2 linked regions of the Arabidopsis thaliana genome follow. The protein of the gene in region 1 interacts with the protein of each later gene in a pairwise test. Each region holds a gene or a part of one and is shown on either strand. Other genes may lie near its edges. The genes, in order: ckl3 and ACBP4.

Region 1 (7,325 bases):
CTGGACTCAACTGGCATAGAGTGTTTGGCTGATTTAGTTTCCCGTTGCAACTGTTTATTTCAATATCTTGATGCTAACTCTCCGTTTGGCAGGAGGAACTAAGATTTCACATGAAGCCCAAGTCTCTGACCGTGTCAGACCGGCTAATGCCAGTGGTCCAAGCCCACAGATTAATACCGCTGTAGGGAGGAGTCTGGGTTTTGATCAAGTCCACAAGAATGTACGTGCTTATTCATTTGCCTCTTCCAAATAAATGTTGTATCCTGCAACCCTCCCCCTTGTGTTAGCATCTCATGCCTGCATCTGTGTTGCTTCAGAGTTCTGCATGGTTCTCTGCTTAAAGCTTTTACCTGTTTTGCATGGTCAATTGTCATCAACGAGCTCTATATTGTGATATGAACTACATATAGCATAAATGATTAAAACACGATACTGATCATCACGAAATATGCTCTTGACCATTATTTTACTGAAAACCCATTGCAGATGAACATGCCATCATCCACTTCATTATCTCCTGCGGGTACCTCAAAAAGAAATGTCAGACCCGAAACCTCAAATTCTGGGTTTGGGAGCGGGAATAAAACCGGCGGTTGGACTTCACCATTCATGTCACCGGGGAAATGATGCAAAAAAAGTTGGAGTATATCATTCATCTGATCTGCTGAGCAAGATTATGTGTGCCTTTGGGTCTAAACTGTGATTTCTGCAGTGAAAAGCTCTAGACTGAGGTTGAAGATCTGAATGGAGTTTTTCCATGAACAGCTTACTGTTTGACAAAAGGCATGAAGATTATGTTTGCTTTCCTTCAAGATTCTCACAAATGACTGACTTCAACCTTTGTATAAAATCTTGCAACCGGGCGTGTAATTTGGTTCTTGTGATTCATTCTCCCAAGTTTTCTTCTATAAAACTTTGTTCGTATTTCTGTACGTAGTTCCCTGTGTTGGGGCATAACCTGGGTTTGCTGTGTCATCAACATTGTTTGCAGAAAATCAAGAGCAAAGCATGAGCAGCTTCAGCAGAGATGCCTTCAAAGGCTTGAGTCAAGAGTTGCTTGTGGCAGGGACATGTCACCATCAAGCTAATGTGCAGCTGACGAGAACGTAAAAGGATAAGCTATGGCTAGCTTCTGGAATGCTCCGAGAAACACTTCCCCCTTTTTTTTTCTCTGAATTTCCTATTCAGTTTAATGGTATTCTGTGTTTGATTTTTCTTACTCGATTTTGTGCATTGAAAAAAATTATATCAAAAAGCTTGACTTGATCCAAACATGCATTTTCAATTGCTATTATTAAAAAAAAAAAACGTATAAAATTGTAGTCTCAATATTGAAATACAAACACCTAGAATTGATCGATTTGGTAGAGAACTAGTTAGTGGATTAAATTTGGGTTGGCTGATTTTCGAGCCATAAACTATTTCGATTCTCAGCTTTCACACCCGGACTTTTGGGCCTTTAAATTTCCACCATCAACTTTCATATTCCCAAAATTACATCATCTATTTTTGGATTCATGCTTAAACATACATTTCCAATTGAACCATTCATTTAACCGGGATTAACCACAAATCCGCGTTTACTGTACCGCGATTGCGATTAACCCAACTAATACCCAGACCCGTTAAGAAAACGACGTCGTTTTCATTTCGTTTAACTCATCAAAAAGAGAAAGAAAACGACGTCGTTTTCATTCTTCTTCTTTAACTCTCAAATCGATTTAGTCGTTCTTCTTTAATCTCGACACTGTGAAATTAGGGTTCTTGAGAGAGAAAGACAAAAGGGGATTTGGGGTTTTCTTCTTCGGTTCGAATTTTTGGGTCTCGATTTGGGTTTCGAATAGGGAGAAATGAAGAATTGGTGGGAGGAAAGATTGATTTACCAAAGCGATCCAGATGACCCCGATTTCGAACCTCCAGAGAGTGACATTGAAGCCGACGATGGAAGTGATAGTGGTGATAGCGGAGTCGAGGAGGACGAAGCCACCAGAATCGAGGGAGAGGACGTCGGGATAGATGGAGACAGAGCTTCTGATGGAGAGGAAAATAGAGAAGACGATGGTGACATAGCGTCTGATGGAGACGTCAATCTAGAAGACGATGGAGACAGAGATGAAAGTCAAAAGAAGAGGACTACCAAATCGATTTGAGAGTTAAAGAAGAAGAATGAAAACGACGTCGTTTTCTTAACGGGTCTGGGTATTAGTCGGGTTAATCACAATCGCGGTACAGTAAACGCGGATTTGTGGTTAATCCCGGTTAAATGAATGGTTCAATTGAAAATGTATGTTTAATCATGAATTCGAAAGTAGATGATGTAATTTTGAGGAATATGAAAATTGATGGTGGAAATTTAAGGGCCCAAAAATCCGGGAGTGAAAACTAAGAATCGAAATAGTTTATGACTCGAAAATCAGCCAACCCATTAAATTTTCGAACCTTCATCATTTTGCAGACCCCAAAAACGGAAATCATCAAATCATCCACCGTGCCAGCGTGACATTACAAAATCACGTAAATACCCTCGTGTTTGTTTATAAGGTAAAAAAAGATTGGCGGACCCAAAATGGTGCAGTAGTTAGGTGTACAAATTTTTTTTTGAAGGATCACTACTACGGCTCAAACAAGCCTGGGTCCATGTCACTACCACCGATGTCAGTCAAACAAAAATAATAATATATGTTTTTAAGTTCCTCTAATTTCAATCTTCTAAACAACAACCCTAAATCCTTATCTCTATCCTTGCGCTTGATCCAGATTCGGTTCTGATTGGAGCTGCCATGGAACGCATCATCGGCGGCAAGTACAAGCTCGGACGGAAGATCGGCGGTGGTTCGTTCGGAGAGATTTTTCTAGGTTTTGTGTTCTCCTCTGTTCTTGTCCCTTTGGTTTTCCGAGTTTGCTTTTTTATTTGAAATTGACGCTCTTCTCTTCTGTTTGTTGTTTTCGCAGCTACGCACGTCGATACCTTCGAGATCGTAGCTGTTAAGATCGTAAGTCCCAGCTCAATTTGCCTTGAGACGAATTGAATCCATCCAATCTGGAGATTTGATTTGGATCTGCTATGTCTCTTAATTGATTTTGTTTGAATTGCTTTACTCTAAAATTGAGCAAGGTTTTAAACTCGGTGCTTTTTAGCTGCAATATATTCTTCAAGCTAACACTTGTTTTTAATTCAATCATTTTCTCTTGCAGGAGAACAGTAAAACAAAGCATCCTCAACTTCTCTATGAAGCTAAGCTATATAGAATTCTTGAAGGAGGAAGTATGATTCTCTTTCCTCTCTTTTCTCAGTTGTTGGACATTGGAGGGATTCATTAGCAGTACAATACTAATTTTTATGTTATGTGTCAGGTGGAATTCCGCGCATAAAATGGTTTGGAGTTGATGGAACAGAGAATGCTTTAGTGATGGATTTGCTCGGTCCAAGTCTCGAAGATCTTTTCGTCTACTGTGGGAGGAAATTCTCACCAAAGACAGTCTTGATGTTGGCTGATCAAATGGTATGGCATGACTTTCAACTATTCATTAGGCTATTTATAATATCTGTTGACTTATACATTGATTATCTAATGTGCTTCCGATTTTCTTATCCCGCTGTTACAGCTAACAAGAATAGAATTTGTACATTCGAAAGGATATCTGCATAGAGATATTAAACCCGATAACTTCCTCATGGGCCTAGGTCGGAAAGCAAATCAGGTATATTTCTGCAACTTCTTATCTTCATCAGATGCCATAAGTAGAGTATGGTATGATTGATAAGTCTCATTTTTCAGGTTTATCTAATTGACTTTGGACTTGCCAAAAGATATCGGGATGCCAACACCAACCGCCACATCCCTTACAGGTATTGTGGCCTTGGTTCAATATACAGATTGTAAATGATCTATCTGTTTTTAAGTTTTACGGTCACGTTAATCATTATACAACTTATTTCCTTTATTCGGCTATATTCAGGGAAAACAAGAATTTAACAGGAACTGCACGATATGCAAGTTGCAATACACATCTTGGAATTGGTAAGAAATGCTGGCATTCTTTATCCTTATGTAAAAGTAAATCGCTTTTGCTCATATTTTGGGTTCTCTTCACAGAGCAAAGTCGACGGGATGATCTAGAATCGCTGGGATATGTGCTTCTGTATTTCCTAAGAGGAAGGTGTGTTGTCTTTTTGAAAGAAACTAGTTAACATTATGTTATTTCGCAGGGTATTTCTATTCCTTGTTTTTAGAGATTTACTTAACTGTTTTTTGTGTTCCTCATTTCATGAACGTCCTTTTCTAGTCTTCCATGGCAGGGTCTTAAGGCTGTTGACAAGAAGCAAAAGTATGATAAAATCTGTGAGAAGAAGATATCAACTCCCATTGAGGTATGTTTCCCTATTGTGTGATTGATTCTTTTTTTGTTAATCCTCATTCGACTAAGTATATATCGATATCCCATTGCAGGTGCTATGCAAAAATCACCCTGTGGAGTTTGCATCATATTTTCATTACTGCCATACACTGACATTTGATCAGCGCCCAGATTATGGATTCTTGAAGCGGCTTTTTCGTGATTTATTTTCGCGGGAAGGTAGGTACTTTGGATAAAGACATCTCTTCATCATTCATAGTTCACTCAGCTGATAAGGTTCACCGGCATCATCTACCTACCTCACTATTATATGTTCTCTTTTGCAGGATATGAGTTCGACTATATATTTGACTGGACTATCATAAAGTATCAACAAGCACAGAAATCTAGAAATCAGTCTCAGGTATAGTTTTCAATGTTTTCTCAATCTTAATTTGCTGCTGTGTCACCTTTCTTGTTACTAACAAAAAGTATTGTCATTTCTACTGCAGGCAGTTCCTGGGTCTAGCAATCCTCGTGCAATGCCAGTGGACACAAGCAATCATCGGGGTTAGCTCTAATTAATAGCTTGTTGTTGCAATTGTTTATTTTGAAATCTCTGTTTTCTGACGCTCTGTTTGGCAGGAGGACCAAATATTTCTTATGAAGCCGAGGCCTCTGAACGCGTCAGATCGGCTAATGCCATTGGTCCAAGCCCACAGATAAATAATAATACTGCTGCAGGGAGGACTCCGGGGTTTGATCACCCTGTCCACAAGAATGTACGTATTTCTGCATTTGCCTCTTCCAAAGAACCGTTTTATTCTGCAAACTCGTTGCTTGTGTTAGCATGTCATGTATAGTATTACTCTCAGAACACTTCATGGTTCCCTGAAAACTGATTTTACCAGTATCGCTTTGTCAATTGTCATGAATTAATGAAACAATATATTGATCTTCGAGATGAGTTCCCTTGACTGTTATTTTACTGAAAACCCATTGCAGATGAACATGCCATCCACTTCATTATCTCCTGCGGGTACCTCAAAAAGAAATGTCGGACCCGAAACCTCAAATTCTGGATATGGGAGTGGGAATAGAACTGGTTGGACTTCGTCATTCATGTCTCCAGAGAAATGATGCAAAGAAAATGTAGCTTTTTCCTGAAATGGTGAGTGAGATGATGCGCTGTTAATGTGACTCCGTGCCCTTAATTCACCTCTGAAACTACAGCAGAAATCAGAACTTGGTGTCACTAACACCTTTGTATCTCCTCCACCTTTGGCTGGAAGAAAGATGCAATGGTTTCTATGTAAATTCTCTGAAGTGTGTGTGGACAAGAAGGCGTTGGTTGAAGCATTTGTGTTTACACACACAAGACATGAAAGTGTATGTGTGCTTTTCATTCAAAGATTTCCCCCAACCTTTGTATAATTCTTACACCCGGATGTGTAATCTTGTTATGTGATTCATACATATCATTTTTAGCTACTCTTTGCTATGTGATCAATGACCTTTTGCTGCAGCTTGATATATGTATACATGTTAATGGATAGCGTCATTCTTTGCAGAAATCCAGAGCCAAGCTTGAGCTGAGATGAGTCTTCAAAAGGCTTAGCAATGCACAGGTTTCTTTCACAGACGCCCAAGTTCGATTCTTATTTTTGTGCAATTGATTTATGAGGAAAGATTTTGAGAGTCAACATGGGATTCAAATAACTCGGAGACAGTGAGTAAGAAACTATTCTGGGAGAGAATAAAATGTTTGAGAGCTCATGAAGCCAGTTGAAAAACGATTTGATGCGCTCGGTCGGAGAAATCATCATCATGGAAGAGGCAGGTGACCAGGTGTAGGTTGTATTTGTACAGCTGTAATGGAAACCTATCTTAGGCCATAAGGGAAAATCCAATTTGTGTAAACTAAAGTAAGTTTGTCTTAAATTTCTTCATAGTGTTTAGTAATTAGTATCATATACTCTTCAATATTTGCTTTTAAATATTTCTGTTATCTTTATATATTGTGAAAATTGAAATCAAATCCAGACGGAACCTAAGTAATTGAAAACCAAAACAAAAATTAAATTGAAAGTAATTTACTACAATTTGAATTAAGCTACATCATTATTGTTTTTAAACGAAAATTTGATCCGATACCAACTCCAAAGAAGACTGAACTCTACTAGAAAGAAAGGGGCGTTATTCTAAAACAGGTCCATATTCAACCTAATACACCTATAATATAAAATAGTTTCGTTAGGTTCTATTTAATAATTTATTTTAAATTTAACTTCCATTCGTAATCGGCATAAGTTGGACCACATGATAAGTATGATGATGCAATGACTTGCTTTTTACATAACAACAATCTTTGGCCTCATCTACCTATTTCGCATTATAACATGTTCTTTGAATCGTTTCCCATTTTGTTTTTACATCATACAAACTTAAAAAGTTTCATCTACGGTGCTGCACCTGCACTCGAAGCAGCCCAGGTTCCATCGTGGTGTCCTTCGTTACAAAGTTAAGAAAGAGGTTCCAAAATAAGACATGAAAAAGAAGAAGGTGTTCCACTTATTTTTAAGACTGTTATATGCTTATATGAAGGACAAAATATACATCTATTTTAAGTTTAGTGGCATATAAATATATTACAAAGAAAAAATCAGAGGAGTCAGAATCCCACATCAGATAATTATAAATATATCTTATATGATTGGGCATATAATTTCATAATTGGTAACTGGAAAAAGAAAGTAAGATAATCAAAAGGAAATTGCTAGGTCTTGAATATAAAATTGTATATTAATAATCAAATTGGCTAATGTAGTGTTTGTTATGAAATTAAAATATTATTATTAGTAGTTAGTTGACCTACTTATATGTATTTTTGTAATCAATTACATGATTTAGTAATAATGTTCGTCCAAATAAAAGAATACAATTGTCAAGAGACAAAACCAAGAGTAGTTGTGTTTTATTTTGAATGA
Region 2 (9,430 bases), on another chromosome or scaffold:
CTTGAGGTGCTAATGCACACCGCTTCACAAAAGCTAGAGTTTGCACAGATGAAAAACTATCCCTAGCTTTCTGAATCTGCTTAGAAGAGTAAATAGCTTGGACCTCGTAATCAGGCACGTCTACAGCAAAGTAACCTTGAGCATTAATAGGCCTAAAGTTATACTGATTCCGACATTTACAAGTCAAGCCAAGAGCTGACCTTCTACCTACTTCATTCATAGCTTCTTCCACAGCTTTTGCAAAGTGATCCGAACTAGTTTGCTGTGATTTCTCCTTCACATGAGGTTCAAAAGGGATAAGCTCAGCAGGATCGAACCATCCATAACTATTATCCCCAAAGAAAGCAACCAGAACGTAACCCATCTTCTTCACACGACGAACAGAGGGAGACGCAAAAGCTTCATTGAATATTTGACCTGGCCACCATGGATGTGACTTTACCTTTCCCCAAACCATATCTCCCACTTCAAAACCATAGCTCAATGCCTTCGAATTTCTAGAACCCATTTTCTCCCTCGCAACATAATCGTCAAATTCGGATAAGAAAGATTTGTAGTCCGGAACTCGCCTTTTCTCCATTTTCTTCTCACCAGATTCGTTGCAGAGCTCATAAAATCGGTGATCAGAGTCTCTAATCTCTCTTTTCATTTCACAAAATCTAGGTTCCGTTTCACTGTTAGACACTCGAGAACCTAAATCGACATTTCCATTTCCATCACTTCCAGTGTCTGCAGCAACCGAATCAAGCTCCATAAGGAAAGCTTCGGCCTGATCAATCATTTCAAATTTCCCGGAGCCATTGCCAGAAAAAGTAACGAAACTATCACCAAAAACCCTAGGATTCACATTCACCTCAGCCGAATTCATTTCTCTCTAACCACACTTGAACCCTCGGTGTTAAAGAGCTTTCATAACAATGAAACCCTAGAAACAACTCGAAGCCAGAAGATGCGTAACTTTGTTTAAATCCTGAGATTGTTTGCTGGAAGAGAAAATTTAAGAAATTTCATGAGAGTAAAGCTGGAGAAGATGACAAAAGCATCACTTGGTGAGAAGGACATTTTGGTAACTTCTCAGCGTCATAAATGGTGATGGTGAACGGTCGAACTTCCCATCCAGTAATAGGTTGCCACGTCATGGGACAAAAAAACGTGATCTTTTTATTTTATTTTATTTTGCTGCCTAAAACGTGATTTTTTGTCCACTTACGAAGTGAGGTAAATTTAATTTAATTTTTAATGCAAACGAAGACTAAAGAGTGAAGAGAGTAAGAGACTCGTAAATATAAGAAAATTATGATTGCTGATCGTAAACTGATTTAGTTTTCATAATTTTGTCAGACACTCCCAAAACAAATATTTCAAAAAAGTTAACGAATATTCTGGTGAATCACTTGTATAACAGAGAACAAAGCTAAACATCGGTAGTAATCAAAGCTCGCTAAAAAAATATCTTATTGGAAGAAGAAACAATGCGAGAGACTCAGACAAAAAAAACTATATATATTTCTTTACTGAAAGCAAATATCGTCCGGAGGAAAATGGCATTACCGGACCAAAAATGATCAAGGCGAATCATCATCTTTTTCCTGAGGGCTTCCAGCGAGCCAGCCCCATACGCCACCCGAGCCCTGTCGTTTAGCGTTCATTGCAGCTTGTTCTGAGGCAGCCTTTTGACGTTGCAGGAGTTCGAGTTCCTTCTGTAGTGTTTCCAATGTTTGAAGCTTTTGTCTTAGCTCTGCAACATCAACCTGCAGATTCGGAGAAAGTGACCCAATTAGATTTGCTTTGTTTTTGTTCTTATGACGTGATGAAGCTTATCAATAAATGACAGAGAAGATATGTGATAGATCCAGTGGTTACAATGGATGAATGTTCTAATCAAGATTCCTATTCATCCTGGAATATGAGTATATGTAGTCATTAAATCACGGGTTTCACGAGATTCCAAATTCTGTAGGTTATGGTACAAAAGAGATGTGGCTACGGTTTAGTACCTCCAGTTTGAAACACCTTGATTGTTCGGCTGCAAGTTGGCCACGAACAGATTGAAGTTCCTACAAAATGTCAGTACAAAGTTAGGTATATCATATTCGAGGAAAAATTCCGAGATTTCAGATGTTAAATGTGAATGCAATTGGAAGACTGCTGCAACCAGTCTTTATGAACGATTGGTTCACCAATTTATTCATGTCGGCTTCTGTTTTAAGAAGGTGATAATATTAGTACCTTGTACAAATCTGTGTTTCGTAATTCTGCTTCTCCTAACTCTTGCCTTAGTTGGAGAGTCTGCATCCTCTCTTTGTTCAGTGATGCCTCCAGCTCTTCCTTCTCAGATTTAATAGTCGCAATAATGCGTTCGCTGTTTCCTTCAACCTGGGGATTAATCACCCAAAACATAATAAGAGTGCGAGAAGGTGATGATCCGGACTGGAGTAACTATATTCTGTGTCGACACAATCACTACCACAGCATATATGCATAAGATGCTTCAATTCTCTCAAACAAATCAAAAGGTGGTGCTATGCAAAATATATTAAGGAGGGAAATTTGACAAGAAGATACCTTTGATCCAGGGTTAACATTGTCCATGACAATTTCCCGTACCCTGCCTTCTTGGCTCACCTCAACCTCAGACTCAATGTCTCTGGTTGTGGCATTATTAACAGCAGAAAGACTACCTGGCAAAGGCGCTTCCAGAGTCTTTGTTTGCAATGTTGATTTGTGGCTTGGTTTAAGAAGATTAATCTAATGCCAGATAAGAATTAGAAGCAGAACTAAATGAAAAATTAAGAGAAATGAACTTATGGGTTCAGATCACAGTCCCTACTTCGTTATTGTAACGTCCATTGTATCCACCAAAAGCGACTAGTACATCTTCACCATTGTATGAACTCACCACTAAACTTAATCCCTGTCAGTAGCAAAGGAAAGGACGATGGAAATGAAATAAGCATGACTTGACTTTTTTCGAAGTCTTGAAAAGGCTTCTACCGTGTTTATTTGTATAGCTATCTGGGAATTAATATGGATAAAGTCTGTTTATTTAAGTACCTCGCTAGCAAGAGGTACACGTCCTTGAACTGAAGCAACGACCGACCATGCAAGAGTTGACATGTTTAGTACAACACTCTCCGATGCCCCTGCAGTAATTTGTCACAAAATTAGTCACCCCACACACACAAAAAAAAAAACCCAAGCAAATATCTTTTGTTCTAGGGGGTGATAAACAGAACGGTTGGGAAGAGAAAATTTCCAAGGGAAAAGTGCATTAACATACCACTCTTGTTATCACCGCCACCAACAATAAACCAGTTCTCCCCAATTGTCACGCCAGCATGTCCAGCTCTTGGAGTTGGTGCATCACCTTGCTGTGCTGGTCTTGACCACTCCATCTATATGTGACAATTATATCAGAGGCTGACAAAGCATGTTTGAGAGCAGCTGAAAGAATAGACTCTTAGCTTAACTTACAGTTTGCAAATCAAGGACATGCAGGTCATCGAAACAGGTTGCATGTGAGCCGCCACCAAAGATAAGAAGGAACCGTTCTGCATGCACTGCAGCAGCATGATCAGACCTCGGAGATGGAGATACACCCCTGCAATTTGACACCAATTTAAATCCTGAATTGCTAATCTTTCAATAACGACTAAGATACTAAAGGAGATAGGAGGTCGATTTCTAACATATTCATATTCTGGTTATATATCTAATCTTAAATGGGTTTGACTTCTTCGAAAGAGAACAAAATGCAGAAACATCATAAAATCTTACACGGCATCTATCTCATCCCAGGTCATCGTGTCTAGGTCAAGTATATGCAAATCGTTCAGAAGTGATCTCTTTGCATCTTGCCCGCCAAATATCACCAAGGTTTTACCCACCATTGTAACTGACTGGCCTCCACGTGAAACCTAAAAGCAAGAGATAATTATAAGAAAGTCTAAATTTAAGTAACCAAAATGCATATTTGACTTCCAAATTAGCAAGGAGAAATTCTGGATTTAGATGCACCTTAACCCTGAAGATATTATGGGAGGGTAAGGAAAGAAAACAACTTTTATTTTTTTGTCTTTTGACGGCCAAATTTTTTTTTGTATAAAACTGTAATATTTTCATACAAAGGTGACAGGAAAGCAAATGAGACAACATGAGAGAAGTGAAGATATACCGGTGGTTTTCCATATGTCTTTAACATTGACCATGTAATGGTATGGGGATCAAAGACCTTCACTGTGACAGGAAACAGTAGAAAGTGATATGTAATCATTGAGATTCCAGAAAAATCTTATAAATATGTGCAAATTATCGTCTTCAAAGGTATATAAACGCTAACCTTGCATAGATTCTGAGGGATCCTTTGTGTGACCACCGATAGACAGCAGCTTGTTGTCCCATGCTATCTACAAAACAAGCAAAGAAGGTAAGTGAATAATGTATAGCTAGAGTCTTCTTTATTACAAACTAATATAGCAAGTGACTTTCATGAAGAGAATACTTTGCTTTAGCTGAAACCCCTCTCCTGAATATTTCTGGGCAGGAAAGCAAAACGATAATAACAAAAACAAAACGAAAAAGTTAATAAACTTACCAAAGAATGACCAGCACAAGGAGCTAACAATGTCGGAGTTGATGTTTCCTGAGATTCTGTTGCAACCTTGGTTTCAACTCTTGACCAAGTCCAACTTTTTAAATCTAGAACCTGTATACATTCCACAGAAGCTTTGCTTAGGAACTGTCACCGGGACTGGTATTGTCAAGCTAGGAGCTGAATATCTCAATTACATTAGGAGCTTATGCTTATAAACCATAGAGGTTGCTTACATGAAGATCACCAAGGTAACGGCCATTGTGATTTCCACCATATATATACATCTTATCTTGAATAACTGCTGCGCCATGCTGAAAAAAATATAATAAACAAGACTTAGAAAAATACAGAAGATACATGAATGACATAACCTTTTACTTATTCTTCAAAAGAGAGAGAAAAAATAAATTACCTCGTAACGAGCTTTTGGACGCTGACCTGATGTTTGGGGTGCAGTCCACTGGTTATATACAGAAACAGTATTTGAGTCTTCTGAGACTACATCTTTATCTTGGGTTTCAGCCAAACGTCCATTCTCCGTAGAAATTGTTTTTGTCTCACTAAATGTGCTCCCATTCTCAACAACAGGCTCATCTTTTGCTCTCTGCTACAAAGATGAATGCACTAAAAAACTCAAATAATTTTCTTCAATCAAGCAAAAGATATGTGTAATAGTTCCCATGGTTTGGACATCGAATCCCATGGGATACCAAAACTTACATTAATTTGGACATCTACAACAGGATCTGGAATATCATTAGATGCCCTCGAATACCAACCAGGATCATCTTCCTGATAAAAATTGAGCAATAGAGAAGAAAGCAAGGTTATGCTCCAGTTAAGTCTTTAAAAAAAAAAAAAAAATAGACCTCTTTGTCGGTTACCTCCAGAATTTTCACAAAGAGACGCATTGCCTCAATGGAGGGCATGGTTCCGAGCCCCTGCCAACTAAGTAAATATGAAATGCTTCAGAACAGTAGCATGTGTATCTTTCAGGAAAGGAACGAGGACAACTTTAAAGTCTTATTTTCCTTTAAAAAGGATCGTAAGCATTAACAACCTCAGTAATGTAGACCAAAAGGTCCAAAACATAGGTAAGCACTTAGTTTTTTTCCCCAGGGATGCACATTCAAATCCTGCATTTCTATTTTCCTCTAGTAGCTTACACTAAAGTACTCCTTTCCCGTTTCCCTAATGCATTTGGATTCTTACGCTCTAGTAATTGATGAAATCTAAGACATCTCCTATTAATATCTACCATGAAGCATATTCCTACAAGTATGATTCACAAACGCAAGAATAGAAATAAAAGAACCAGTGATAAATGCATAAATGTTAATCGTAGATAAGTATGGGCAAAACACAGCACCCAATCTAACCTTTTCCATTTGCTTTGCTCCACTGGTCTCCAGGCACTAGGTTTCGGAGTGTTGCATGGTCCTACAGTAGCCTGTTTCAATGTTAAATCCAAGAGATCATCAGCACTGAGCCTATCTATCCCAGGGATAAAAACTAGTAGACTCGACATTATAATTAGTACAAGAGAACGTTTCTCTCTATGTTAAGGAACAGCCAGTTTCACCCCCTCGTAAGAAATTCATCTACGACTATACTAATCAAGTTATAGAATCAATGTAGATCCAAGTAAACTACGACTGACGGACCAACGCTCCCTGAGATCTAATAAAATAAAACTGTTTCAATCATGTTTCCAATCAAATCGTGATGAGATCTCGGGTAACATTTTACTGAGCATTTCGAATATACTAACCAGGATCGAAAATAACGATCAAGCACAGCTAATCAGACAAGTAAAGTGCGTCATTTCTAAAATCCGATAAGAATTCGGCGAGAGGAATATGAATCGGTGACTAAAACAAAGAAATCAACACCCAAACGACCAGATCTCGTGAAATTCAAAAGCAAAATCCACAATCGTGAGATCAACAATGGAAGAGATCAGAAATGGAAGTTGCTGACCTGCTGGTATAGCGCATAGAGAAGTAGTGCAGTATCATCGGGGAATTTCGAGATGACGTTTTTCGCCGACGAATCAGATCCGTCGAGACCGACATAAGATGCAGCAGCGTAGAACCTCTCCGGGTAAGCGGGACCAGAGGTTGCCCTAGGCATAGCCATTTGTCTCTCTCTCTGACTACGACCGCGGATTTGATCGGAGATGGAGAAGCCAATGAGCAGAGATAGGCGTTTTCTAGTTTCGTTTGTTCAAAGATACAAACTTATGATTACTTTAAATTATTTTCATTAATATAGAAACATATTCTCAAAATTTAATATTTAATTGATCAAAAATTATAGTAATTGCTTGGTGCAGTGTTTATATAGCGAGCGGCACGATCAAGAAGACATGATTATGCTCGAAACTTTTCTCTTTTTATTGTCACTTCGTATTTTTGACCTTAATCATCGTAATCAACTCAATAGTGTGAATTAATTAAGAAAAACAAAGAGACCCTATCAATATGAAGAAAAAATAAGCTTTGCTTTGTAGTATCTTGTTTCTTTTTGGGTTTTTACAATTTGTTTTCCGATCCTTTACATTCAAGAAATTATATTGAACGATTTCGCAGTAGTGTAAATTTCCGATTTCACCTCTGACCAAGCTGACTCTGGCGCTTGAGCGTTCAGTGTATAAAGCCGGCCACTGTGAGCGCAACAAACGGCTACATTATGCCGCCGGAAAAGAGGTGATTCGACTTTAAACTCCAACTCGTAGTACTTCAAGTTTCTCTCTGAATCTTGTCTGATACTTGATTCTAGCAAAGTTCCTTTCAAATCTGCTCGTTGACCAGATCCTGTCACTGTTCTTACTATTGCCTCTCCTACTTCTTTTGGCCCTCCAAACGCTTCGATTCTATATCGTAAACAATAAACACTTTCATAAAACAGATTCCGCTTCTTGAAATAAAATGACAATTGCTCGTCAAGAAAACATTGATGCTTATTGGCAAAAGAAAAAAAAAAACATTGATGCTCATCGATCTAGGTCACTTTATGATCTTAACAATCATAGCGAATCGGGTGTCTGCACTAACTTCTGTGATAGATTCAAAGTAGTAAAGAGAATCATGTACTTACATTGAGATATATTGTTTCACTTCAAACATGTACTAAATGTAATAAACAATCTTGAAAATTACAACTTTGAAACTAGTTGTTAGACCACTAAAATAATCGATCTAGTCTTACAATTTTTTCTCATGATCAATTAGATTTGTTTGCAAGATCTAGTAAACCATATCACTTAGTCGTTACCAGTTACCACAGAACAATCAAATGTTTCTACTATAAGAATGATGTTTTTTTTTTTTAATGACACGTCAGCTCTAGGGCGATTTTCTTGGCGACTAGGGTTTTCATTCTTTTTCAGCAAGCTAGGGTTTCAGCGGCGGCTTGCCGTCGGTTTCTCATGTCCGACCAGGTTTTACCAGTCTCTTCTGAGGCAGGAACAGTTGGTTCTCCATCTGGATCTGTCCAGCAAAAGTCCTATGCAGCAGTAGTTACTAAACGGCCTTCTCTGAAAAAAGATGAATATGAAGTCTCTGTGCAAGACGGTGTCCCAACCATTGCAGTTCCGAAAGAAGTTATCACTGAATCTGTCCCTCTCTGGGATGATTTTCTGGTGGGACGGTTCCCATCACAAGCTCCGCATGTCGCTAAGATCCATGTCATAGTCAATAAGATCTGGACTCTTGGGGACAAAGCAATTAAGATTGACGTCTATGAGATAGACTCTACTTCAGTAAAGTTTCGAATCCGTGACTCCGCCACGCGTTCGAGAATAGTCAGAAGAGGGATGTGGAACATTGCTGGTTTACCAATGATTGTTGCCAAGTGGTCTCCGATTAAAGAAGAAGCCCAGCCAGAGATTAAAACAATGCCGTTGTGGGTCACAGTGAAGAATGTTCCTCATTCCATGTTCTCCTGGGATGGTTTGAGTTTTATTACAAGTTCAGTAGGAAATCCAATACGGTTACATCCTGAAACAGAATTATGCACAAAGTTTGATGAAGCTAAAGTTTTTGTTGAAGTAAATCTTTCGCAAGACGTTCCAAAGTGTCACAGGTTCAAAATTGAGGAGGAAAAAGATGTTATCGTGGAGTTTATTTACCCCTGGTTGCCTCCCAAATGCACTTGTTGTAGTAAGTGGGGTCACCTAGTGGATGTTTGTGTGAGTAAGCTCAAGCCTCCAGCGCTGGTGATAGAAAGTGAGCTAGAAGAAGGTGAAGTTTTAGCGGATCCTTCTGCTTCTGCTACCACAGTGAGAGTTGCTGACCATGAGTCAGCTAATAGTGGGAATAAAGAGGATGGGATTCAGAACTCGATTTTGATTTCTCAGGAGGTTTTTGAACAACAAGTGGTAGCAGAGAAGGTGGTACCACCAGAATCTCAGTCGGAAGGAGATGGTTGGTCCATAGTCTCCCCAGGTAAAGGAAGCAAAAGTACAGAAAAGTCAAATGGGAAACCATTAACTTTTGGCCAAGCAACAATTTTATCCTCTTCTCGGTACTCTGTCCTGAGTGATCAGGAGGAGAATGGGGATAAAGATGAGTTCCCCACAATCTCCTCAGAGGAAGTCATTGAGACGGAGCGAACGAACTCTATTGATGACGTTGTCTCTACTCAAGCGATCGAAAAGAATTCCACTTCGGATAAAGAGAAAGCAGGAGCGGTGAGAGTAAATCTTCCTCGCTCCTCCAAGAGTTCACACAAAGTCCTTTCGGAGTCTTTTACTCAAAAAGCTAGAGACAATGTCTCCAGCAATTCGAGCAGAAGAAACTCCAAAAAACATCATTAAATGTCGGGGTTCTTCTG

The links.
Region 2: the proteins of ckl3 (region 1) and ACBP4 interact in binary tests that used the Arabidopsis thaliana proteins (3 or more experiments, as listed by UniProt).

What each region holds. Positions count from the first base shown.
Region 1 is NC_003075.7:14,248,571-14,255,895, forward strand, and holds ckl3 (casein kinase I-like 3), read left to right. Parts: upstream 1-2,564; 5' UTR 2,565-2,780; coding exon 2,781-2,856; intron 2,857-2,952; coding exon 2,953-2,993; intron 2,994-3,195; coding exon 3,196-3,265; intron 3,266-3,354; coding exon 3,355-3,503; intron 3,504-3,606; coding exon 3,607-3,702; intron 3,703-3,779; coding exon 3,780-3,850; intron 3,851-3,960; coding exon 3,961-4,022; intron 4,023-4,097; coding exon 4,098-4,161; intron 4,162-4,287; coding exon 4,288-4,372; intron 4,373-4,451; coding exon 4,452-4,578; intron 4,579-4,685; coding exon 4,686-4,762; intron 4,763-4,850; coding exon 4,851-4,908; intron 4,909-4,983; coding exon 4,984-5,120; intron 5,121-5,343; coding exon 5,344-5,478; 3' UTR 5,479-6,376; downstream 6,377-7,325. Other genes in the region: ckl4 (casein kinase I-like 4), read left to right, coding at 93-220, 487-627; AT4G28870 (mutator transposase MUDRA protein), read left to right, coding at 1,851-2,150. UniProt on the Arabidopsis thaliana protein: Protein kinase involved in blue light responses (e.g. hypocotyl elongation and flowering) by phosphorylating CRY2 to reduce its stability.
Region 2 is NC_003074.8:1,559,183-1,568,612, reverse strand, and holds ACBP4 (acyl-CoA binding protein 4), read right to left. Parts: upstream 6,943-9,430; 5' UTR 6,734-6,942; coding exon 6,575-6,733; intron 6,045-6,574; coding exon 5,974-6,044; intron 5,543-5,973; coding exon 5,479-5,542; intron 5,387-5,478; coding exon 5,315-5,386; intron 5,202-5,314; coding exon 5,007-5,201; intron 4,906-5,006; coding exon 4,828-4,905; intron 4,706-4,827; coding exon 4,595-4,705; intron 4,407-4,594; coding exon 4,340-4,406; intron 4,237-4,339; coding exon 4,175-4,236; intron 3,918-4,174; coding exon 3,778-3,917; intron 3,602-3,777; coding exon 3,475-3,601; intron 3,396-3,474; coding exon 3,281-3,395; intron 3,144-3,280; coding exon 3,055-3,143; intron 2,915-3,054; coding exon 2,831-2,914; intron 2,749-2,830; coding exon 2,566-2,748; intron 2,377-2,565; coding exon 2,230-2,376; intron 2,058-2,229; coding exon 1,998-2,057; intron 1,752-1,997; coding exon 1,566-1,751; 3' UTR 1,277-1,565; downstream 1-1,276. Other genes in the region: AT3G05430 (Tudor/PWWP/MBT superfamily protein), read right to left, coding at 1-868; AT3G05425 (uncharacterized protein), read right to left, coding at 1,008-1,139; AT3G05410 (Photosystem II reaction center PsbP family protein), read right to left, coding at 7,157-7,469. UniProt on the Arabidopsis thaliana protein: Binds medium- and long-chain acyl-CoA esters with very high affinity. Can interact in vitro with oleoyl-CoA, barely with palmitoyl-CoA, but not with arachidonyl-CoA. May function as an intracellular carrier of acyl-CoA esters.